Linked DNA regions of Oryza sativa Japonica Group. The protein of the gene in region 1 interacts with the protein of each later gene in a pairwise test. Links are inferred from orthologs where the notes say so. Each region holds a gene or a part of one and is shown on either strand. Other genes may lie near its edges. The genes, in order: meiosis-specific protein PAIR3 and meiosis-specific protein PAIR2.

What was found.
Region 2: the proteins of meiosis-specific protein PAIR3 (region 1) and meiosis-specific protein PAIR2 interact in a two-hybrid assay, tested with the Arabidopsis thaliana proteins (2 studies listed by BioGRID). The link is inferred for Oryza sativa Japonica Group from reciprocal best matches to the Arabidopsis thaliana genes ASY3 and ASY1.

Annotation. Positions count from the first base shown.
Region 1 is NC_089044.1:14,496,975-14,506,142, forward strand, and holds the start of meiosis-specific protein PAIR3, read left to right. Parts: upstream 1-3,121; 5' UTR 3,122-3,273; intron 3,274-3,360; 5' UTR 3,361-3,490; intron 3,491-4,564; 5' UTR 4,565-4,616; coding exon 4,617-4,646; intron 4,647-4,764; coding exon 4,765-6,414; intron 6,415-6,522; coding exon 6,523-6,670; intron 6,671-7,700; coding exon 7,701-7,841; intron 7,842-7,913; coding exon 7,914-7,974; intron 7,975-8,066; coding exon 8,067-8,216; intron 8,217-8,336; coding exon 8,337-8,395; intron 8,396-8,913; coding exon 8,914-9,048; intron 9,049-9,168. UniProt on the Arabidopsis thaliana protein: Required for normal meiosis in male and female gametophytes. Acts with ASY1 at the interface between the developing chromosome axes and the recombination machinery to ensure interhomolog recombination.
Region 2 is NC_089043.1:24,028,282-24,037,725, forward strand, and holds the start of meiosis-specific protein PAIR2, read left to right. Parts: upstream 1-3,297; 5' UTR 3,298-3,399; coding exon 3,400-3,402; intron 3,403-3,477; coding exon 3,478-3,534; intron 3,535-6,297; coding exon 6,298-6,394; intron 6,395-6,486; coding exon 6,487-6,555; intron 6,556-6,638; coding exon 6,639-6,731; intron 6,732-6,846; coding exon 6,847-6,970; intron 6,971-7,556; coding exon 7,557-7,626; intron 7,627-7,698; coding exon 7,699-7,740; intron 7,741-7,897; coding exon 7,898-8,026; intron 8,027-8,120; coding exon 8,121-8,228; intron 8,229-8,381; coding exon 8,382-8,424; intron 8,425-8,492; coding exon 8,493-8,531; intron 8,532-8,728; coding exon 8,729-8,853; coding exon of another isoform or gene 8,854-8,866; intron 8,867-9,049; coding exon 9,050-9,062; intron 9,063-9,156; coding exon 9,157-9,227; intron 9,228-9,318; coding exon 9,319-9,423; intron 9,424-9,444. Other genes in the region: uncharacterized protein, read left to right, coding at 1-72, 160-534. UniProt on the Arabidopsis thaliana protein: Required for normal meiosis in male and female gametophytes. Plays a crucial role in coordinating the activity of DMC1, a key member of the homologous recombination machinery.

The DNA.
Region 1 (9,168 bases):
TATACCTCAAAAGGGTGAAAAAAAAGAAGTATATTTTTCCTATGGTTATGTCTAATTCACCCTTATATTTATTTTTCTATGATATACATAAGGGTAAATTAGATAATTCATCGTAGATTTTGCATGAATGATGACACGGCATATCCATATGATGATTTTGGTGGACCCAAGGACTATTCTAGGTCTTATGACAAAGGTTAAGGATTTCTTTGGACCATTTAAAAGGTTAGGGACTAAACTGATCCTACAGAGAAACTTTAGGGACTAAAATAGCTATTCTCCCTTTTATTTTCAACAAAAGGACTAGTGGTAATTTATACTAGTATATAGTTCGCATATTTCACAAACCACACTTAACTAGCCAACCGCTTCAATCCTCCAACTCATCACCTTTTCCATATTTTCAGTATTATGTGCTATGGGCCTTAAGCGGCCCATCTTCTAGCTATGCGTGATTAGGAGGCTTGCCTCAGTCTACCTCAGTTAAGGCCCTCTTTGTTTAGACTTATAAGCCAACTTATAAGCCAAAAAGTCTAAGTCTAAACAAACAAGTAACTTTTTCGTTTGGCTTTTTTGAAGCCATAAGCCACTCTTATACTATTAAGCCAAAAGTTAGGTTGGAGAAGGTTTTTTTGGCTTATATGAGATATATGTATGACTCCACCACTAAACTTAGGACATTAAATTCACTGGCTTATAAATCATATAAGCCAATAAGCTGACTTAAAAGTCTAAGCCAATAAGTCTAAGCCTAAACAAAGAGGGCATAAGTCAATTAAGCACATATTTAGTCTAAGTATTACTTCTATAATTTTCCTTATTAAATAAGTAGGTGATTTCAATTTTTGGGGAGAACCAGCAGTGAAGCAGGATAGTCTCGTTGAAGGGTGGTGTACTTAGTATATATTGTGGGGCCCAAATATTAGTAGTAGGGATAGTGTGGCAGTACGGATACCACCACCGCTAACATTCTAAGTAGTATAGATCTTTATTCTTTATAGATGCGACTTTAACAACAATTTTATATTATAAGTAAGTTTATGAGATCATGAATTTATTTGGTATATGTACATGCATCATTTTAATGTTTTAAACCTAAGTATTTTAGAAGTCGTGATGGTAACTTTGATTAGATTTGAGGCCTCCTTTGATTAACGTGATAGGAAAAACACATATAGGAGAAACACATGAATTAAAGTGGTGTGATTCTCTAATTCCACATGAATAAAAAAGTACAGAACGAAAATAGGAACCTTTGACAGTGCCATAGGGAAAAAAAGTTCATAATAAGCTCATATTTCTTACTATTTTTCCTATAAAATATGAAGCATAAGAATACAATCTTAGTCCTTCATTTTTCTATGAATCAAAGGGATATAGAGGAAAATTTTCATAGAAACTTGAGTCTTATGAAAATCCGCCAATGAGAAAATTCCATCTATACCACAAATTTTTTGCTGGTATCAAGTAATACCATAATATTATCCTCTATTCTAAAAATGTACTTGTGGTATTACTTAGTACTAGCAAAAATGTTTGTGGTATAGATGAAACTTTCCCATTGCCAGTCCTATTAATAAAAGAGGCCCTAATAACAAAATCGTCAAATATCAAAGTACAGTACCGATGAAACTGCACGAAATACCCTTTAAGAATTGTATTATTTGTTTGCACTTTTTTGACAAAAGTTCATGTCACAAGACTTGGCAGGTTATACCCAGGTATTTTAACTTGAAATTTGAAGCCACAAAATCTATTTGTTGTGCACATAGTACCATAAAGTACTCCCTTCATTCCATTTTAAGTACAGCTATGAGTTTCTGTGTTTAACTTTCATTGTCCATCTTATTTATTTTTTAAAAAAAATTAAAAGCATAAGTCACTGTAAAAAGTACAATTCATATTTTGTCATCTAACAACAATAAAAATACTAAATATAAAAAATTAAATAACATTCATGTTTTGTCATCTAATAACAGTAAAAATACTAATTATAAAAAAATTAATAAGATAAAATTAAAGTTGGATACGGAAAATTACGTAGTGTTTGGTTTGGGGACGAAGTGGGATGGGTTAGACCTATCCTAGTTTTGTGGGATATGATGGTTCCAATTGTCTGTTTGGTTTATGGTATGGAATGGTTATAGTTTTCTGTTTGGTAGAAGGGATTGAGGTGGGATGGGATGGACGGATTTGTACTCACCGTTAGTGCCGTTTGGGGCCGGAGGAGCTCGGCAGCGGTCGCGAAGGTGGCGGCAATCGTGGAGGCGGCGGCGGTCGTGGACGAGGCGGAGGAGGCGGCGGGTGTGGCGACAGTGCTCGCGATGGTGGCGGCGCTCGCGGAGGTGGTGGTTGTGGTGCTCGCGGAGGTGGCGACGCTCGTGGAGGCGGCGGCGGGTGTGGAGGCGAGGCGGCTCCCGGATCTGAGAGGAGCGCGGCGGTGCTCGCGGAGGTGGCGGCGCTCGCGGAGGTGGCGGTCGCGGTGCTCGCGGAGGTGGCGGCGCTCGTGGAGGCGGCGGCGGTGCTCGCGGAGGTGGCGGCGCTTGTGGACAAGCGGCGACGCTCATGGAGGTGACGGTGGTCGTGGAGGAGGAGGAGGCGGCGGCGCTCGTGGACGCGCAGAGGTGGCAGTGGGCGTGGACGAGGCAGCGGCGCTCAGGGAGGCGGCGACACTTGCGGATGCACGGCGGAGTTCGCGGAGGTGGCGGATGGCACGGTGACGCCGTTCGCTCGTCCTAGGTGGGACGAGTTCGTCCGCCAGTTTTTTGCGGATCAGTTGGTCCTGGATCTAAAAGGAATATTCCTCTCCAGGGACCAACCCATCCCACCCACCCCTAAACCAAACACCCCTAAAAGTGGGTTCGTCCCCATTACATCCCACCTTATTCTTGCAACCAAACACTACCTTATAGGACGGAGGGAGTACGCAATAAATTTCTGCCATTTAGCAGGTTAGGGAATCAGTGTACCGGAGTAAAAATACACCACAGCTGCATATATGTGGGACCAAATGAATCGGGGAGACTGACATGTGGGCCATCCTTATGTGTGCCCCGCACGTCAGTGGCAATACATCAGGTTACCACCGGTGCACGCGAACGGCGTGACGAAAGACGAGTAGACTCCCCCAAAAATTTCAAAAATTCAAAATCCCCCGCTCTCTCCCAAACTTTTCCCCTTCCCCTTTCCCATTCGCCTCTCCACCGCCGCGGAAATCCCCCGTGCGGCCGCGCGGGTTTCGAGGCGGCGCGACGCCGGCGAGCGGCGGCGCAGGTGAGCCCCCCTCCCTCCGCACCTCTCTCACTTGCTCGTCGCTGGTTCTCCCTGATCTCGTCGGTCTCCTTGTTCTCGTTCGAGCAGCTTGGCTGGGGTGGCTCGCTCCCGACGGCGCGGGGGGCTCGTCGGAGAAGAAGCAGAGATTCCTTCTCGCCTTCCGCGGTTCGTGTAGCTTCGCCGGAGGGCGTCCGAGGCGTCGCCGGTGTCACTAGGGGTAAGTTGCTGGGCTACTTACTGGACTCCATGATTCCCCCCCGTGCATGCGCTGCATCGTTTCCACGCTCCCTCGTGGGGGGAGATTTTAGGGTTCGGGAGGGGGAGTTGGGACCTGGGACTCGCCCTGTGCATTTCCGTGGCGATCGCTTCTGATTTTCGCCTCTGTTGCTATGGAATTGCATATTTGCCTCGTTCGTAAACCTATCGTGTAGGTTTCCGTTGGATGATTGGATCCTGAATTCTGTCCGATTGTTTTTGTCTCTCTAAATTATGGTTATCTGCCGCAAGTGTTAGGCTATGTTAGTGTCGCATTCCGCAGTATTTTTCACGGAGTTGGGTTCTTCTAGATAGTGAGTGGAGCCTGGATTGTGTATTATGTTTGTGGAAGAAGATCTCTTAATGCTGAGGGCACATTTAAATTGCTGATACACAATATTGGTTTGATATGTTTGTAATGGACTGTTCCTAGAATTTCACTGGGGGTACTAAATTGACTTGTTGGACATGCAGTCTATTTAATTTGAGCCTCAGTGCAGCAGTACACTGTTGCAGTTATCAATCAAAAGCAAGTTGTTAGCAATCAAATCATCCAGCTTAGAAATTTAGGTGTGGTACTGTGGTTATGTAATGCAGCTCCACCACCACTGTAGTAATTTAAAGTTGACAGTTGTAGTACAACGATGCAGTTATTTGTTACTACTTTTCAATGCTAGTTTCTTTTCCAAGCGTGATTGCAATATTGCCATGTGACAATCTTTTACATGTATTGCCTGCTGAATCAGGAAAAAGAAGTACAGATGTATCACTAATTCACTTATGCTTTGGTAGGCTAGTTGAGGATCAGTGTCCCTTGCCCCCATGTCAATGCTTATTTGCGGTGTTTTCGCCCTTGCTGATACAGCTGTGCTTCTCACATGTGATGGCAGATTTGAAATTTCTTCCTATAACCATGCTTGATAAAGATGTGCTTTGCAAGACCTCTGTATTCATTTGCTAAGCATAATTTTGATTCTGAAAGATTGTCTCAGACCAGTAGAATCTTGTCTTATGCAGTTGTTTTTCTATTCACCAGGTCCAACCTTCTTTAGTTAATTTGGTATACTATTATCCCAAAAGCTGCACCTATGGAAGTTGAGCTGACGAACATTCAGAAAGTGAGTAGCTATTTCCTCTGCTAAGCTGCTGGATGCTTTCCTTTTTCATGTTATCCTTTCACCTTCAGATGTTTTTTCATTATAGTATTAAAAAAGTTAGCATGTTATACTTTTGTAGGCTACATCAAGTGACTATTGGAGTTTGGCCAGCAATCAATATCCATGTGGTAAATTCCCTAAGGTATCAGTTGGCGTCACAATTCCAAGGACGAGTTCTGTATCAAGAGGCAGAGATGCTGCTAGTACCGCTGCATTTGAGAAGAACTTGTCTCAGGGAACTGATGGAAGATCTAGACCTCCCAAAATGGATAATGCTTCACTTCAGGTCTCTCCAGAAGCAGCAAACCACGGCGGATCTGCTAAAGAGGTTCCTAAACCTGTCCCTGCTAAGGTTTCTGTATCACAACCTGATGATAATGCAATTGAGCAAACAGGAACCTTTTCCTTTGGAACAAGAAGAGAACAGGACAGTCATCTTGATCAATTAGATAGGCCACCACTTGTGAGTTCCCAAGGAAAGCGTCAAGTGGAATCAGCTGATAAAAACAAGCCCAACAGTGAAATGCTCAGGATGAAACTGTGGGAGATCCTTGGTGGTACTTCACAAAACAAGGAGGCTGTTGCCTCACCAAATCCTGAAGATATTGAGACGCCATGCCAACCTAAAAGTCAAATTGCCAATGGACCATCTTCAGGAAGACAGAAGGTTTTCACTTCACCTGTTCCATATAATATTAAGACACCAGCTCAGTTTAATAGTCAAACAGCGAACAAACCATCCTCTGATCCAATTGAGTCAGACTCCGACAGTCCTCAAGTAGTTGAAGTAAGACCTATTACTCGTTCGCTGGGGCGCAAGAAAGAACCAACAGGCTCCACACATCAGGATAAGAGCGGGAGTGCAAAGAAACCATTGTCTACTCATCGTTCTACACCCAAGCAGAAAATATTGGACAATGTGTTTGCCTTCAACGATAAATGCACACCTAAAACAGTAGGAAAATCTGCAAATGGTGAATCTGGCAGCTTGAGGAATCTTAGAAGCTTGAGTAGGAGGGCTAAAGTTGAGCCAAAGAAGGCACATTGTTCGGACAGGATTTCTCATAAGACTACACAGGATGATATGGAAAGAAAGGTACCTTCTAAATATATACCATCAGAGAAAAAAGGTGAGAAAACAAACTCCTTTTCTTCTTTATCCCGAACAGGAAAAACTGCTGAGAGTTGTTCTAGAAGCCCTAAAAGGGAGAGAAGGGTGAACACGATGGCTAATGTTGGGGCTCGAAAGATGCAGTTATCTGAAAATTTACTGGTCAAGACTCTAAATGATGGTGAACACAAGCTCTCTTCTCCTCAGCTTACTTCCTTTAAGAGCAAGGGAAAATGTTCTTCTATATCGCCTCAACAGAAGGAGAATGATAATACCCACATCCCTGAAGCTTCAGACAGAACAGCAGCAAGAAATAGTTTTAACTCCACACCTTCTCCTGCTGCTAATCCATCTCCTGTACTGAGGAAGTACTCATGGGAACATGATGAGAATCCTGCGATAAATGGTAAATCTGGACAGAAGGATGCCAGTCCGTTGGCAGACAGATTCAGCGACATGCCAGATGATTTTGCAAGTCCTACTTTTGCAGCAAACATAAAAATATCCCCCCACAGAAGTAAAATGCTAGACGATGACCTATTTAGCTCCAAATATCCAAAAGGTGTGAACAGGTCAAGATCAACTTCCTTTACCTCGGATCCAGAATCGGAGCCATTGGTATGCTTCAATCTCTAAAGCAGATTGCAACTTTAGTAAATGGTTCTGTTTATACTCTACGTAGCAGAGCAATTTTATCCGTTTGACACTAATTGTTCTACTGTCCAGGACAAAATGGAGAAAACCAACGAGTTACCTGGCAGTGAATCTCCTAACTCTCAGGAGGAAAGACAGAACAGAAAACAACCACATCTTTCACCCCTTTCTCCTATTGAGAGTGAAGGGGCTCAAATTTCTATTCCAAGCTTTAGAAAAGGTCAGAACGCCATCAATGCCAATTTTCTAGGCTCTTTATTAAAAAGGGGTAGACATGCTCCTGTCATGTTTAATGCTTCCATTCTAGACTCAAAGGTAGCCATGCTAACTTACAGTGCACTACCCCCTTATTCTGCATGTGGACCATACTTATTGGACAGAAATCTTATGTATATGTAATTATGTATTTCAAGCACCTCTTGAATTTATCATTTAGGTCATAGGATCAACACTGGCCATAATCCTTATAACATTTGCATAATCTGTCAGATCAATCCTGTTAGTATTGGTGTTCATGATATGTACACTTATTTTATTGGTGCAAATTTTGACATCGTTACTTTTGGCCTCATAAACGCTCGAAGTTTGACTATTTGAACATTGAATTCTAACTATACTGGCAAGCATATTTGCAGGGTTGTTAGTGGTGAGATTGCAAAAAAGAAAAAAAATTTCTGTGTCACCCACTTCATTTACTTGACCTTTTTATGACAATTACACATTTTATGTGACATGATAAATGAGTATTTGTGTTTGCTTTTGCTGTCATTTTCGATTAGTGCTGCCTTACTAAGCCGTTAGATGTCTTCCAGGTAACCTGCTATTGTAACTTGTGTTCACTGGCCTGACCGCAGAAAATTTCCTAAATTCCTTTTTGTGGCTGTATAGTTAGGCTCTTCAGATTTTCAGCTATGTCTTGCTGCTAGGTCACAACATTTTTTTGCAACTGAAGGATCTTGAAACTTGAAAGTGCCAATTCATGAGAGCATGCCGTTTGTGTGATAGCTGACAAGTGGCATAGCAGCAACAAGTGGCATATTCTGCCATGTGCAAGCATATCCTTAGTTTACATATATTTCATCAGAACTGTTTACCATGTTAAATTCGCTATTAGTTTAGTTATTCGACTGTATTATTTTCAGCCTTTCAGAACATTAATTACTTGAGCTAAAGTTCTCATTGGAGATGCACACATCTATCTATCTTAAAGTTGCTTATTCATGCCTTGTCGCTTTGTTTTTCACATGCAGGATATAAATCTCATAAATGGCTTTCAGATGTTGACAGCCCTGATAAATCTTCTATTGAGCATCTGGGCCGAAAATCACATCTAAAAGAGGGTAGAAAGGGCAAAAGGCAATTAACTTCGCCAACCCATTTTGCCACCTCTGGTAACACTGATTACTTTACTGTTGTGCTTGTGCATTCATGGTTTTCGGTCTGACCAATATTTTTTTTCTCAGGGACGCAAGAAACAATGTCAGACAAAGAACCAGAAAAAGTCCCAGAAAACTACCTAACCAGGTTTGACTTAGGTCATTGTGGCTTAAATAGTAGGTACAAACATGATTGCTAGTTTGCTACTTGGATTAATTTCATTTCTTGACTTCCACCAGGGCTTTTGATCAGTTAGTAGTGGTGCTAGGAAGGTTCCAAACCAAAATCAAGTCTGAAACAAGGAATAAAAGTTCTAAGATACTTGCAGCTACTGGAGAGATAATACGCCAGCACCTTGAAGGGGTTGAGGGGCAGATGCAGGCTGATGTGTAAGATCGAGTGCCAGTGCCACTTAGAAACTGCCTCTTTTCTTCTTTATGCACATGCGATTGTATATAGGCCAGATATGTACTGCCTCTTTCATGCATGGCATTTAACTGTGATTTCAGGGACAAGCTGGTCAATGCAGGAAAATCTAAAAGGAAACGTCTAGAGTCAACATTTGAAGGTAAAACTCTAATCATGTCGATGCAACCATTCATAATGCAATTAATCTATGAGGGCATGATGTGGCAATATTTTTTATCCAACTATTGTTTGTTGTAACTGTAACATTTTTTATTCTACGTATTTGGATTATTCATCTCATGTAACACAAACTCTTAAATCTTGATTCATCAATACAGAGTCATGTTTGAACTCTAGATAGAATGTTTGAAGTCTACTACAGGATAACAATGTAATCTGCCTGTTCCCTTGGTTTGGTTGGCTAGAATGACAAGTAATTTGAAATGGAGGGAACATTAGTTTGAGAAAATCTCATGCAGTATTTGTCTTATTCTGCCTGCAATCATCTGATGTGGCTTGGACGCTTGGTCTTTATCTACTTCGTTATTTTGATCTCGTATTATATACTGAGTTAAATCTCAATATGCAACTGTATATAATGTTACAACTTCTTTTTCCTTCATGCCTTGTTTTTCTTGGATGATTTTAACTATTCAACTGATGTCTTCTGGTTTGCAGAGCAACAAGAAAAGTTAAGGATTCTTCACGAGAAGTTCAAGGAGGAGGTCAACCAGCAGTTGCTCGGTTGCAAGAACTCTGTTGAGGATTTTGAGGCTTACCATGCAGAACTTAAGGGAGTTGCTGACAAGCAAAGTAAGTTAAACTTAATACATACACTATCTTTATGAATGGGACTGAAGCAATTAAAGATTTCTTACCAATGTACACCTGAAAATCCCATAAAAATAATGTACACCTGAAAAAAGTCTCTAA
Region 2 (9,444 bases), on another chromosome or scaffold:
CCAGCCTATGATTATTTTTCTCTGGTTTCTTTTCTTGATGCTTCTCCTTCCTTGGAGACTTTCTTTCTGGATGTAAGTTAATTTTCATTCTTTAAACTTATGTATTGGCCATTTACAGTGGTAACCATCAATTGAAGCACATTGGCTTTTCATCTTCAGGTATCACAAGAACGCATGGGGCATGTCTCAATTTTTGGAGATTCCTTGCAATTGAGGCAGATGCCTGAACACCATCGTCATGGCAACCTCCAGAGCGTGAAGATCACTGGTTTCTGCTCTGCAAAGAGCTTGATCGAGCTAACATGTTATATTCTTGACAATACAACCTCACTCAAGTGCCTAACACTAGATACAACCCGTGGTGTTTCTAGCTGTTCTACAGGCGAACACAAGAAATGTTTTCCTATAGGCAAGATGCTCACTGAAGCCAACAGAGCGGTATTGGCAATTGAAACATTCATCGAGCGAAAAGTTCCCTCGACAGTTAAATTAGCTGTTACGAAGCCTTGCAGCCGTTGTCATGTTAAATCTTAGTTGTGTTTTTCTCAGCATTTATCCAGCGTAGATGGTTATGTAATTTCTCTCTTCATTTACTACATTATTATAATACTGTCCAATAAGTTTTGTAACTTTACATGCTTGCGTTTCTCTTCATTAACCCAGGACACAACTGAATCATTTTCGTCTTTCATCTCTAAATTTTGCTAGTGACATTAACTGGAACATCTACCTTTTGTTTGACACCAAGTGATAAACAGGTTAATAAGAGGTTTCTGCATTTGAATTTCAATTACAGATGCTCTACCAGCTATACTATCAACATATTTTTGGTTGCATTGGGCTGACAAGATATCTACAGCTTGACCTCAATTCCTAAAACAAATTTCAACACTCAACCATGGTTAGTTGCACATTCAAGAAGTCAGGTAACAAGCCAACGAAAAGAAAAATCTGGCAGCCACTGGATTTAATTTGCTGATACATGAAGGTCATCAAGAGCGTAGAATCATTTCATTTCTATCCCAGTTGGTAGATTTTGCTGATACATGAAGGTCATCATTCATTTCTATCCCAATTGGTAAATGCAACAAATCGTAACAATTGGTAAATCAACCATAACAACTCTCAAATCCCTAAAGTGACAGGGGACTAAGCGATACAATCTCTTACTACTACACATCCAACTCTCAAATCCCTAAAGCGATATACGAGGAGCCCTCGGATTGCAGGCCATCGTGGAGTATCTCAATCTCTGGTCGTTTTTGCGGGAGATAGAGCTCTCGGATCACCAGGACCAATTTATTTGGAAATGGGAAAGTTCAGGCATGTACTCCTCCCGCTCCGCCTACCAAGCATTGTTCCTCGGTCGAATCCCGTTCCAATCCACGCCGATCTAGAAATCGCTGGCGCCGCCGCGCTGCCGTTACTTCAGCTGGCTGGTCGCACTCAACCGCTGCTGGACGGCGGACAGGTTAAGCATCAGGGGCTTGCCCCACCTTAGCATGTGTGTCCTATGCGATCAGCACGAGGAAAGCATCAACCACATTTTGGTCGCATGCCCAGAATCAAGACAGCTCTGGTGGCTACTGCTCTCGGCAATCGGTCGCTCGGAATGCTTGCCTGTCAATGAAACCTCATTCCACTCCTGGTTGTGTGACAAGAGGGAAACCTTACCGAGCTCTCAACGGCGAGGTTTTGATACCATTGCTACTCTCGCAGCATGGACTATCTAGAAGGAGCGAAATAACAGGGTGTTCAACCAGAAGCACAGAAGCTGGACAGAAGTGGCAAGGGCAATGGCGGAAGAGGCAGCGCTGTGGCGGCTCGCCAATACTGCCATACCGGCCACGCCTTTAGAGCGCTCAGGTCGCAACATTGTATCGCGAGATTAGGGTTTAATGCTCTTGGGTGACTTCCTGTAATCCCGTGTCCTGCTGTGTTTTCTCTTTCACCTGTACAGACTTTTACTCCTCTTAATACAAAGATGCGCTCCTTGCGTATTCCCGTTTTTTAAAGTGACAGGGGGACTAAGCGATACAATCTCTTACTACTACACATCCAAATTTCTGTTCGTAGATCAACTCTCAAATCCCTAAATCAAAACAGGGGGACTAAGCAATACAATCTCTTACTACTACACATCCAAAATTCTGTTCGTAAATCAAACAGGGAGGTAAATCAAACAGGCGATCCCAACATGTTGGTAATGCGATGGAGAGCGCGATCGAGTTGACCTGGAGTCGCCTCAGGGAGACGGTCCGCTCGCACGCCGTTGGCGATGTCGTTGTGCAGAAGCTCGTCGAGCGCCTGCACACTCGTCGAGATCGGATGACCAATCCTGAGTGCGAGAGCCCGCGCCTGCATGGAGTGGAGGAGGAGGCGGTCCAGCAGGAGCTCCGTGAGACGGGAGTGCGTCTGAAGAAGCAGGGCACCGGAGCCGGCGGTGGGCATGGGGCTGGCAGCAAGGACATCGTCCGCCATGTCCTGGGTGAGCGCGTGGATGGCGAGAGAACCCCTCACGCGGAAGCCGACGAGGTCGTTGAGGAGCCCGCGCCGCAGGTCGACGTCGACGAGCTGGAGCTTGAGCTGCGGGATGTGGACCTTGAGCATGAGGTCGAGGACGCGGGCGAGCTCGGCGACGTCGGCGAGGCGCTCGAGGTCGCCGTCCTCGACCTGCCACTGGTAGTCGACGGAGAGGGCGGAGAGGGCAAGGTACATCTCGGGGGCGTCCCGCAGCGCCGCGACGGAGCGTACCTGGACGCGGCACTCCCCGACCACCTCCCGGACGAGGGCGCGCAGCTCCGGGAGGCTGGCAACGGTCGCCGTCGGAAGAGCCATGGCGTAGCGGAGGGGGCGCGCCGCGCGGCCGCGCCGCGCCGGATGAGGGGTGGGACGCGAACGCGACTACGCGAGCACGGCGACGGCGGCGTGACGCGAGCAAGGAGGACGGTGGCGGTGGAGCGGGGTGGGAGACGAGGGCGAATCACGGCGAGGGGGAGTACTTTTATAGCTGGAGGCAGGCTGCCAGGCTGGCGCAGCGTAGGCGGGTCCTCCAAATCTCGGAAGCAGGAAACCGGAAACGCATCGTGCCCGTCCTGTCGACGTGGCAGACACGTAATTAAATTTACGGCTACTACTAGTACTTGTTTTACAAGTTAATTAATTTCCTCAAAAGAAAAGGCGCTCGGGTACGGTAATTTCCTCGAAAGAAAAGCACCCGGGTAAAAATTCATAACACTTTAAATCTTCAATATATACAGTAGTACTTAAAAAAGAAGAAGAGAAAACTAGCTCTCCAAAGCCCCGCAAATTCTCTCGCTCTCTCTCTCTCTCTCTCTCCCACTCCTCTCCCCTCTCCCTTCTCTCATCTCGCGCGCGGCGCGCCGCCGTAGAGACGAAATGGTGGGTTCTCGCTTCGATTTCGCGTTGCGCTTGCTGGTGTGTGCGTGCTGATCGGAGTGGGTGATTGCGATGCAGGTGATGGCTCAGAAGACGAAGGAGGCGGAGATCACGGAGCAGGATTCGCTGCTTCTGGTGAGTTTTTTTTTCTCTCCTCGCCCATCTCCTGTTCGATTCCCGTGCGACTTTCGATTTCGGTGGTTCGGTGCCGGACATCGGATCGGTTCACCCGATCGAGGGTTTTCTGCCGAGGTTTTTGGGAGGTTTTTCGCTGTGGATTTGATCGCTCGTGTGGTGTACTGGGGTTTGCAGTAGCTGGCGTTCGATTTGGGTTTGATTCGAGTGTTGGTGGTCACGCGTGTCGGATTTCCCCCCCCCCCCCACTTTGCGAGTGCTTTTGGGTGGAATTAACTGTTGCTTTGCTGATTTTAACCGATTTCTCGTGCGGATTTTGGATGTGTTTGGAGATCGTCGTGGGGTTTTGGGTTTCTCGCTTTCTCTGGTAGTCTCCGTCCGCTGACTACCAAATGGTGCTAGTTGGGCGGCCAGTGCGAAGCATCAGTAGCATCTCACTTTGCTAGTGTTTTTGGGTGGATTTCATTGGTGCTTTGCAGATTTTAACCGATTTCTCGTGCGGATTTAGGCGTGTTTGGAGCATGAGTCCTGGGATTTTTGTTTCACTTCCTCTGGTGCTCTCCGCCCGTTCAAAAGCTTCTGGGTATCTCAGATTGGAGTTGGTTTCTGGTTTCTCCGTGTAGCACTATCTCTCGAATGCGTAACTGATGGATCGTTTCGGTATCGCACTGAATGATGATTCGGTGGTTTTTCTCCCTGCTGCTTGATCGATGTGAGTTTTGTTTCTCTGGTTTGAGGCACCGAATCTGTTCTCGTGAAAATTTTTTGACATAATGTTCTCGTGAAAAATCTCTGGTTGGTTTGCTAAATTTCGCAGAAATTTTGAGCAGAATTTCTACTGGTTTGTGCGATTCTCTCAGCATTAGAATTTTGTTGAACGGATCACATCACTTTGTTTTGCTACTCGCGTGGTGATTCGGTTGGGATTTCAAGGAGACATTCACTGGTTTGATAATCGCGTTTCGATTTGGTTTCGTTGTGATACCCACAGGCATTTGCCTGATTGTTTGTGCGTAGACCATCGTGCTGGAAACATAGGCGCATAGTCTCTGCAGTCTGCGTAGTTGATCAAATTGGTAGGGTTGAAAGTTTTTTTCCCTGGCTTAGATATCCTTGCGAAGAATTTCGAATTCAAGTCGTGTTGTTTCGAACTGTTTCGCCAGAAGCATCTAAGGAATTGTTCAGTTCGTTGAACTTCTCATGTGCTTTGCGTTTGGAATCTCTTCTGAAGTGTTTTGGGAGCAGCAGTTACAGTGAGTAACTTCATTTTGCTTCCGAAATGCTTGCTTGAACATGGAATCGAGACACGACTCGTATTGGCCTGGGCCTGGTTGTTCAGGATTTCCATTTCTGACAGTCGTATGAGTCGATTTTTTCAAATGTTTCCAGTAGGCTTGTTAGTTGTTTGGGTTTTGAACAAACGTTGCCTACCTTGGTTGGAATTCTAGGAGACATTCGCTGGTTTGATAATCCCGTTTCGTTTTTGTTTCGTTGTGAAACCCACGAGCATTGGCCTGATGATTTGTGCGTAGATGATTATATGCTGGAATCATGGGTGCATACCCCCCACGGTTCACTGAATCGATCAAATTGGCAGGGCCTAAAAAGGTTTTTTCCTTGCTTCCATAGCCTTGTGAAGAGTTTCTACTTCCAATCGTTTTGAATCATATTGTTAGAAGCATCTAAAATTTATTCAGTTCGTTGAATTCTTGCTGTGCTTGCTTTTGGTATCTCTTTAGACTTCAGAGTTTTTTTGGCAGCAGCAGATTCCATGAGTAATTTTAGTTTCTCTTTTCAAACTTGTTGCTTGGACGTGGAATTGAGACACCACAGTACCACACGTATTGGTTTGGTTATTCCCAGATTTCCTGTTCTGATAGTTCTATGACCTAATTCTTCTTCTGTTTTTTAAAATATTTCCGATACACTACTTTGGGTTTGAACAGACATTTGCTTAATCCTGCATTAGTTTGTGATAAGAAAAGCTGCACTTCTGTTTATAATCGGTTATTTTGTTGCGCTATCATTTGAATTTGGAATTTATGTTATGCCTTTAGGAATTATATGCCAGCTTATTAAACCTCTGCTGGCATGATTTTTAGACTAGCCCCCACTCTCACTCCTATTTTAACATCTTTGTTAGATACTCGGTTTAATAAGTGGACATTGGCTTTGCCACATGAGTTTTAGGATTACTGGTTGATCACCAAACTTTGGTACCTCTTGTACTTTCAAAAAACCAGTTGGTTTATATCCAATCAAATAATGTTTTTCTTTGTCTTTTCTAGTACTTGTTTGCTCACATGGTCAGCTGCACTTTGCCTAGAAGTGCTTAGGATCCCATGACTGCAAGTGCATAGTAGGTGAAATATATCGTATGGTCCATGTTCATTTATGCATTTGTTAAGAAATTTATTGCAGGTGTGTGTTTGAATGGGACTGGTACCCTATTTGATTCAACATGTGCTAAAGTATTGAAAAGCATGACACATTTGTTGTTTGGTGAACTTTTGTGCCTCACCTTGTTTGGCAAGCCCAAAACCCTGGGCCATGCTCCAGGATGGGCTAGGAAACTGAACTACAATTTCAGTCCATCCCTGGGGGTGGACCAGGATCCAATAAGGCCTAAACTTGTTAATCAGTAATCCAATTTGTGATGATTTTATTGCCCTTCTATTTCTATTACATTGAATACTGAACTCTCTTTGAATTATGTATGGTAGAACGCTATTGTGATAACGTGGTGATATTTTGACCAAACAGACAAGGAATTTGCTCCGCATTGCTATATACAACATCAGCTACATCAGAGGTCTATTCCCTGAGAAGTACTTCAATGATAAGTCGGTTCCGGCACTAGGTCACATTACCTATAGTCCCTAACCCTTTTATACACCAAATTCCTCAGATGATATGATATTATTAGCTGGAACACCCTTTTATTTATTGCAGAGATGAAGATTAAGAAGCTAATGCCCATGGATACTGAGTCGAGGAGGTTGATTGATTGGATGGAAAAAGGTGAAAATATGTCCTGTTTTACGTGTTAAATCTTTTTAATTTTCCAATTTGTTCATTTAATCCATTTTTGTGATAAATTTTAGGTGTCTATGATGCACTACAGAAGAAATATCTCAAGACCCTTCTCTTCTGCATCTGTGAGAAGGAGGAAGGCCCAATGATTGAGGAGTATGCATGTGAGTATTACCATGTGAAATATGGCTAACTTCTAGCATACAAAGTTGGTTTTACATCAGTGATTGTGGGTCATATGTCAAACATTTTCTTATTCTGTGTCAAACTCCCCTGCAGTCTCATTTAGCTACCCCAACACGAGCGGTGATGAAGTTGCAATGAACTTGAGCCGCACAGGGAGCAAGAAAAACAGTGCTACATTTAAATCAAATGCAGCAGAAGTCACTCCTGATCAGATGAGGTTCTCTCATACATATCCCTTTTAAAGGCTATGATTCATTCTAGACTTCTAGTTAGTTATCCATGCTGCTTAGCTAAATGCTACGATTTAATGGTTAATTTTTCATATTGCTTAGCATTATACATTTTGGAGAGTGTTTGTTTAATGAAGTTGCAGTCCCAACATAACAATAGTTTAAAATTTTATGATTTCAAAGAAGTAGGAGCAAATTGATGACTAAAAGGAGTTCAGATTTTCTTTTTCTATGTAAGGAATGTGGTGAAAAAGTGAGGTACATAGATTCCAGTAACTTTGTAAATTTAGGTACATAGGACTGTGAGGTGGCAATAAATGATGTAAATCCTTTTTAAAAACATAGTTGGGCTTATAATTTTGAGTCCAACTTTTCTGCGAGTTGTTCTTAAATATTCTTCCACAACTTGCAGAATTCTAGTTCTGAAGGTATGGTTTCAATTTAGTCCTTTAGATAAGCTCATTAATGGTTGTTTATTGGTTTTTATATGTGTATGGCAATTGCAAAGTAATTATTGTAAGCTTTAACTAGTCACTGCTGATATCCTGACATGATCATATGGTTCCCAATCAGGAGCTCTGCTTGTAAGATGATAAGAACACTGGTTTCACTTATGAGGACCTTGGACCAAATGCCAGAGGAGGTAATTTTTGCACTTCACAGATTTGTTACAATGGATTGAACTTACCTAATGCTATCCTGTATTTGTCCTCAGAGGACCATTCTAATGAAGCTGCTATACTACGATGATGTCACAGTGAGTGCAGCAATTTGTTCTTGCTATTTACTGAAACTTGAAGCCGCCATAATAGATAATTATTTTTGCTCTGAACAAATGAAGGATTCAACCTTTTCTGTTCTATAGAACTTTGTTCGTGGAATCGAAAACAGTTAATTTATTATGCTATTTGCAGCCTGAAGATTACGAGCCACCCTTTTTTAAGTGTTGCGCTGACAACGAGGCCATAAATATATGGAACAAGAACCCCTTGAAGATGGAAGTTGGAAATGTCAATAGCAAGCATCTCGTGTTAGCTTTGAAGGTAGTGGATTATGGAGATAGCAGTCGTTTGGACCAGGAAACCTCTGTTTTCTCAATTAAACTCATTGCTACATATGTTTTTATTCTTTATGCAGGTCAAGAGTGTCCTTGACCCTTGTGATGATAACAATGTCAACAGTGAAGATGATAATATGAGCTTGGATAATGAATCTGACCAAGATAATGATTTTTCTGACACTGAGGTAAAGACCTAAGAGAACATATAATTGAGCATCTTTATTAGTGAGATTCTCTTAATTTTCTCCTTAGTGTGCTGTGATGCCACCTTTCGATGTATACGCATATTTTTGTCTTCCTTTTACCTGTAGTATAGACTGAATCGCTAATTCTATTAGGTTCGCCCATCTGAAGCAGAGCGTTACATTGTTGCTCCAAATGGTAAAGTTTCTTTGTTTGTATTCTTGTTGTACTTTCTGTTTTTGGTGCTAACATACTTATCAAAATAGATGGGACTTGCAAAGGTCAAAATGGTACAATCTCAGAAGGTCAGTTAATTTGATCTGAGAGCTTCATCTGTGCATCCTTTTCCATACAAATGAATTTTATGTCAACTATTAAGTTATTATTCAAATGTTTGGATGCTCATTTAATTTTTCATGAAGTGTGCAATACATGTTCAACATTCTCTGACTCTGTAGTACCTGAAAATTTCATACGTTTCTCTGACTTTGTATGTTTGCAGATGATACTCAAGATCCTGTTCACGAGGAAGAGCTAACAGCTCAAGTAAGAGAGTGGATATGCTCAAGAGACACTGAAAGTCTTGAGGTTTCAGATGTCCTTGTTAATTTCCCCGACATATCAATGGTAATGCCTACTGGTATTTCATTTATATAATAAAATAGCTATTTAGAGTATTTACTGTTTTGTGCTAGACTTACAAGTAGGTCACAAACTTTTACCCGCTTTTATGTCATCAGTGTTTATAAATCAAACAATATCTTGATATACTGTATGAGCTGTATGGCTGGCTATTAACAATATCTTGTTGAATGCTTTGCAGGAAATGGTTGAAGGTAGTGGTGTGAAAAACTTATGTGTGCTTACCAGGCATTCTTTCTTCACTCTCACTAAAGCCTTGAAATACTTGACTAATGACTCACTTTTCAGATATTATGGAGAGGCTACTTAAAGATGGTTTACTATCCAGAGCAAAAAAGGATAGTTATTCTGTTAATAAGGTCAACCAAACATTTTCTTCATGTGCTATATTTTAGTTTTACCCTGTGGCATATTGTACTGTCCATCACTAGCATCATAGAGTGGCTTCAGATTGCTGATCCTACAACACCACACATAAAGAAAGAGGTCATCATGCAAAATGTCTCACCTACTGAAGGAACTAAAAATAGCAATGGTGATCTGATGTATATGAAGGTGTATCTCTGTCGCTTACCC